2 linked regions of the Mus musculus genome follow. The protein of the gene in region 2 interacts with the protein of the main gene of each other region in a pairwise test. Links are inferred from orthologs where the notes say so. Each region holds a gene or a part of one and is shown on either strand. Other genes may lie near its edges.

What was found.
Region 1: the proteins of Dnpep (region 2) and Mpp1 interact in binary tests that used the Homo sapiens proteins (3 or more experiments, as listed by UniProt). The two-hybrid records come from large-scale screens. The link is inferred for Mus musculus from reciprocal best matches to the Homo sapiens genes DNPEP and MPP1.

Annotation. Positions count from the first base shown.
Region 1 is NC_000086.7:75,120,933-75,124,590, forward strand, and holds part of Mpp1 (55 kDa erythrocyte membrane protein), read right to left. Parts: intron 3,050-3,658; coding exon 2,964-3,049; intron 572-2,963; coding exon 503-571; intron 1-502. UniProt on the Homo sapiens protein: Essential regulator of neutrophil polarity. Regulates neutrophil polarization by regulating AKT1 phosphorylation through a mechanism that is independent of PIK3CG activity.
Region 2 is NC_000067.6:75,311,025-75,314,158, forward strand, and holds part of Dnpep (aspartyl aminopeptidase), read right to left. Parts: intron 2,486-3,134; coding exon 2,402-2,485; intron 1,542-2,401; coding exon 1,381-1,541; intron 1,008-1,380; coding exon 968-1,007; intron 870-967; coding exon 768-869; intron 1-767.

The sequences.
Region 1 (3,658 bases), on a different chromosome or scaffold from region 2:
CTGGAGAAGAGGGTCAGGGAGAAGAAATAGGTGAATCCCTGAAGCTCATTGGCCAACCATTCTAGCCCAATCAATGAATTTCAGGTTCCTTGAGAGACACCTCTCAAAAATAAATAAATAAATAAATAAATAAAGGTAAGGTGAGGTTAATATAAACCTCTGGCCTCCACACTCATATACATACATGTGCACATGCGCACACACATTTACACAAGAACACCCCAACAAACACATAAAGATGGATGACACCCAAGGTTGTCCTCTGCCCTCTACACAAATGCACTTGAACACACATGAACAAGCACAACAAGCACACACAGACACAAGAAAAATAGAGAGAAAATAAAGGAGATGACAGAGTGGACAATAGGATAATAGGATCCCAAGCCAAGCAACTAAACACCTGTGAGAGATTCAAAATGTATAGTTATAGAATCATGTAATTTTAAATAAAATCTCAAAGACCACCAAACAGCACAAAAGAGAAAATGGCACTCTATACCTGTAGCGCAGGAAGGCGACTCTGCTGATTAGCAATGACTTTTAATGAGATCATTCCTTTGGTTTCCTTCTATTAAAAAAGAAAAGAAAAATGAAACTGTAGCAAAAACTTACGGGGGGTGGAGGAATAGGGTTTTATAAAGTCAGGGTTTTCACGACAGAACCATTTTTATAGTTTAAGATTTGGTCAGATATTACCTCTTGAACCATGAGATTGTCATGTACTTCCCACACCAGCATAACTGAAGACACAAAAATAATAATGCAATAAAACATTGCAAATATTTACAGTCACATGTTTCTTTTGGTTTTTGGTTTTTCTATATAGCTGAGGCTGGCCTTAACCTATGATCATTTCTGCCTCAGGCTTCCAAGTCCCATCGCAACTGGAAGTAGATACAAGTTTAACTTGTTATTGGCCTCCTAAGAGCTTTTATTATAGGCATGAGCTATATTGCATTCAGCTTAACGATTTATTTTGTAATTTAGTTACCATAATTACAGCTGATCATCCTCTCTTTTTTTCTTACAATTTAAATAATAAAATATGCATAATATCACATACAAATGTTTTCAAATTATGTATATATCATATGACTAACATATGCATTACTTCACAACTTATTTTTGTTGTGACAATACTCAACATATATTCGCTTAGGACTTTTCAAGAATATAATCCGGATCACAGGGCTCCCAATGGAGGAGCTAGAGAAAGTACCCAAGGAGCTAAAGGGATCTGCAACCCTATAGGTGGAACAACATTATGAACTAACCAGTACCCCGGAGCTCTTGACTCTAGCTGCATATGTATCAAAAGATGGCCTAGTAGGCCATCACTGGAAAGAGAGGCCCATTTATAGGCAAACTTTATATGCCCCAGTACAGGGTAACGCCAGGGCCAAAAAGTGGGAGTGGGTGGGTAGGGGGGTGGGGGGGAAGGTATGGGGGACTTTTGGGATAGCATTGGAAATGTAAATGAGGAAAATACCTAATAAAAAATATTTAAAAAAGACAAACTGAAAAAAAAAGAATATAATCCGGTGCCGGGCGTGGTGGCACACGCCTTTAATCCCAGCACTCGGGAGGCAGAGGCAGGCGGATTTCTGAGTTCGAGGCCAGCCTGGTCTACAAAGTGAGTTCCAGGACAGCCAGGGCTACACAGAGAAACTCTGTCTCGAAAAACCAAAAATAAATAAATAAATAAATAAATAAATAAATGGTTTGTTGTATTATTTATAGTTCCATGATCCCCACCCATTCCCAGCCCCTGATCAGCACCATTCCACTCTCTACTTCTACAGGTTTGCCTTTCTTGATTCTACGTATATAAGAGTTTACGTGATGACTATCTTTCTGGGTGTGGCTTATTTATATAATGTCCTCCTGGTGCACCTATGTTGTATCAAATAATGGGATTTCCTTTTTGTATAAGACAGGACAGCATTTCATAGTGTGTATATACCACATATTTTTAGTTTATTGGACTCCATAGCTTGGCTATGATGGATTGTGCAGTAGTAATTGAGCAGATTTTTAAAAGGTTGGTCAGTAGTTTTTTTGTTTCTTTTGCCCAGTTTTCTATTTGGTTTTGTTTTTAAAATGAAATTTAGATTTCCCCAGAATTATTAGCTCTTTTCTGATGTACTATCTTTTTAGCTTATGCTCATTTGCAAGTAGTTCAATGTCAGAGGCCCACTTTAAGGGCCAAATTTCTGACATCACTCCCGGTACTATGATATTACTGGGCAGCCCAGTAATAATTAGGTAGCACATTCAAAAAGGGAGTTTGAAAAGTTTCATGAAGGACATTATTCACACAGGTATACATATCCTCAGGAAGAATTCTCTCCCTTGTTGGATCTTTCGAGGATGTCCACACCTGTGTGAAATTGGTACCTACAGGAGCAGATTCGTCAGGTAAGAGAGCAAGCACATAAATACCTTTAATAACTGCTTGCTGAATCTACTGAAGCCCAAGTGATCTAGAAACTAAAATCAACCTACTGACATGTAAGACAAAGTTAAGAAAGATGGCAAAGTATCAGGAGGGGCAAACAGAAAGGCAGCATAAACACCAAGCAGAATCCACATAGTGGATTCTGAGACTACAGACTGAGAGAAACGAATCCACCTGCTCAAAGCCATACAGCAAGAATAAAGTAAAGCAAGGATTCAGAAATACCAATATACACCACAATCTCCAGATACCCAGGGCAATAGTCTTGTTTTTTTTTTATGAGATTGATGCTCTCAAGTTACTAGCCCTGCTTTGCAGTTTTAGTAAATGAAAGCAGAGAAATAATATTTCTTAGACAGAATATCAGAGGATCAGAAGTGATAAACACCCTCTCAATAAGATAACCATGCTTTTGCAGAGAAATGAGATACAGTGGCACCAGTTCCCATATACCTTTCATGAACATAGAAGATAGTATTTGTCTGGTGCAGAGAATACCCACCATTGCCTTCTGCAACTGATCTACTGAGTGATTAGTCACATTTGTGCCATTGATTTCTAGGATCTCATCCCCAACATGAAGGGAGCCTGTCATTAAACAAACAAACAAAAGACTCAATGCATAAAATAATAAAAAGTCAAACAAGAGCTGTTAGTATAGCTCAAGAATACCACATAATCAAAAATAGAATTTAAGGCATTTTATAAAATAGATAAAATTCAAATAGTAGAAGTATTCAACCAGGAGAGATAAAAACAAATTTGGTTCTGAATCTATCTAGCACAGTTCAATACTGCCTCATCCTTTTTTATTTCAGTCATCCAAGAGCTGTCTGCGTAAAAGCATCTCATCCTTGAATTCCTGGAATTAGAATAGCTGCCAACCCCAGGAGACTTGGACACACATATACACATTAAAAAGAATAACCAAGTCAGGGAAAAAGATCTCAGTACTCCCAATTATTCAGTGAGATCAATGTTTCTTTGTTAAACACATGTTCTTAGATGGTTAGTCAATGTTAAAATTCTATGTGAAGGATGGTTACCAAATTCATGTCACCTTGGATGAATAAAAAACATAGTTAAACATAAAAGGGTAGGACATAATGAGGAAGGACACTCACTGGAGTAGCCATAGCCAACATTGGGAATAGTTTCTAGTTTCTAATACCATTTAGATTATTACCAGCTGCTGAA
Region 2 (3,134 bases):
TCTCAACTTGGGCCTTCTCTTCTGCTACTAGACTAACTCATTCCTTTTCCCCCTGGGGATCTTTCTGTTTGTTCCCTCTGGCTGAGATGTTCGCCCTCTGGACCTCCCCATGGTATTTGTTTCTCAGCAGCTGCCTCTCACTTCCTCCCAGAGACCTCTCTGTGAGTGGAATGATCAGACATTACATGGGACAAGATGGAGACACTGATGCAGAGACGGCCCTTGTCTGGTCCTGCCTCTCCCAGAACTTGGGTGTTGTCCATCGATGGACTGGCCTGGGCCAAGTCTCTGATGTGGAGTGTGTGTACTCATGTAGTGCCCTAAGGACAGTGATGGGTGATCTCAGGCCAGAGGGAAAATGAACACTTGGGGTTCTAGGCTCACCAGTCCTGAATCTTCCTTCTGGGTTGAAGTAAAAGTAAAGAAAGACACAGAGACATGGGGTTATAGAAGGAAAAGGGGCAGGACTAACCTACCAGGTGGCAGGAGTAATCCTTACAGAGATCAGCAGGGTAGGGCTCATTATCACCCTCACTTTACCAATGGGCACACAAAAACTCAAGACAGCTTAGCAAACTAGGCCAAAGTCACCACAACAAAGCCAGCACTGCATCTAGCTCTGCACCCCAAACCCCAGATCTTCTCATTCACTGGGACTCCCTCCACTAAAGTCTCTCTCCTATGCTCCTCACTTACTGGGAGCTCATCAGTTTATGTCTTTATTCTGCTCCCTCCACCAAGCCTTCCTAGAAAAGATGCACACTCACCTGCAGGGGCACCCCAACTTGGCCAGCCACCTCTCGAATCATGGACTCAGACACTGCATTAGAGGCGTAGCGCTGCTTGCTGTTCACCTTGATCACAGGACCCTGGCAAAAGTCCCAGAACAGAGATGATGTGAGGCCTGTGTGAACCACAGAGGCCAGAGTCGGCCAGGCCGCCACATCTTTGAGAAGCAGCATCTTACCTTATGGAACAAAGGCCGGTGGTTTTCTTCATGCTTGTCCCTGTGAGAGGTGATAAAGATCAGGATGGCACACTGTGGTGGGGGCTGTCAACAGCCACTACCCCTTCCAAGGCAGATGGCACTAATGGATCATGGCACTCTTTCCCACCTAGCCCTGCGTGTCCTCAAGGGCATCAGAACAAACGATTCAGGCAGATTCTAGCCATGAAAGGAAGCAAGGTCACAGACAAAGCTTACTTAATATATACACCCGGCTTAGGCAACACATGGCTTTGCATAAGTCTGGCCTTGGAATAATCAAATGGAAGACTCCTGAACCTCCCAGCAGATGGAGAAAGGCAGGCCCAGGAACTAGCCTGCAAGTGGGCTATGCCGCGTCTCTAGCATAAGTACTGTCTGGTATGAAGACTCACGAGTAGTTTGGGTGCACAGCATGGGCCATGTCTGCACTGATCATGAAGGACTTAGGTATGGCTTCCTCGAAGGCAGTCAGACGCTGAGGTGAGGCTGAGATGCGCCGTAGTATCAGCTCCGTCAGCAGGGACTGTGCTCCTTGTGCACTCTCTGACCCCACCTGGAGATGGCAGAGATTTGACTGTGGGAATCTGGACATGCGCCTGGACTGTAAAAGTGTTCAGGATGGCCCGGGATCCACCTGAGTCACTTGGTAGAGAGAAGTATCCTTAGAGACTCTCCTTTCTGAACATATGACAGTAGACTAGGGCCAGACTAATTCCCAGTCATTCATGGACTAGAAATAGCATTTACTGATGGAGGTTTCCACACTGGTCCCCCACATTTACACCCAGGGCTAGGCAGGTGTTAAAGCTATATAACTAACTACCCAGCTAGAGACAGCATTCCCAGTTTCCTTTGTAACTGAATGTGGCCACACTGGGTTCTGTGAATGTGAGCAATAATGAATTCCATTTCCAGACCACACTCTTGAAGACAAAGGCATCTATTCTCTCTGCCCTCTCCTTTACTGCTGACTGGGTATAGACATGATAGCCAGAGATGGAATAGCCAACTAGCATAATAGACCAGAGACCTATCCAAACCACTAGCTGACCCAGGGAGTTACATGAAAGAGAACATCTACCTGTCAAGCTCCACTATAGCATCTCAAGATTACAGCTAAACAACATAGCTGACAACCCGCTATGTGCCAAGCCACAGACCTGAAAGGATGACCTGTGTAGTGGCCCCATCCTTGGGGTAGGAATGCAGCAAGGTACACATAGAATACAGGCTATGGAATCCATTATAAAAATCTATGCAGGGCCAGGAGGGAACAAGTGCTATGGGAGCACTGGCAGCTCTCCTTCCTCCCTCTTTGGGGCCTCTAGAATGCCCTGGCTCGCTCTGAGTGTGGGCCACCAGGCAGTTACTGACTACTCCACTGAGGGACCTCTGCCCCAGCCCTCCACATACCTCTTCATTGTCGTAGAGTGTGACCATGCGCACATGTGGATCCCTGGCCAGAGAGGCAGGGGATGCACAGGAATCAATCAATGCCTAGATGGGGAGGAGACAGGCTCATTATCCCTGACCTTTGCTTCTTACAACTTTGTCTGCCAGGACCTGGGAGGGACATGCTGCCCTGCCAGGGAAGTGGGCTGGGCTCTCGCAACCTTTCTCTTAGGGTCCTGCCTGGCAGGTGGAGTAGGACCTTTCTAGTGGGATAAGTAAATCCATTCTCTGAGCATTTGCTCTCATACACTCCCATGCAGAAGGCAGGAGGATAATGTTGAAGACAGACTGAAACTATAAGTCCTGGGAGGCCAATGATTATGAAGATCAGTCAAACTGATGGGCTTCTGTTAACAGCTCTAGACATGTCCATGAACAACCCAGCTGGCTGGCTCAGAAGCAGACACAGGCCCCGGAGCTACAGTTACCACCCAAAGCCTATCTCCAGTCACAGACAGGCAGGGAAAGGCAGGTTAGAAAGCAGAGGAGGGGCAAAGGGTAGAAAGCTGAGAAACAGCCTGACTGGGGGAGAGAGACAGTGAAGAACATGAAGGTGACCAAGAGGTACAGACAGCCCTACTGAGGTCCCAAGGATCCCAAAGAAGGCTGGCAGGGGACAAGGAGGAGCTTTAAGTCAGAGGCAGAATGAGAGAAGCAGAAGAAAGTGAGAATTGTTTTTCATGGTGGCAAGGCC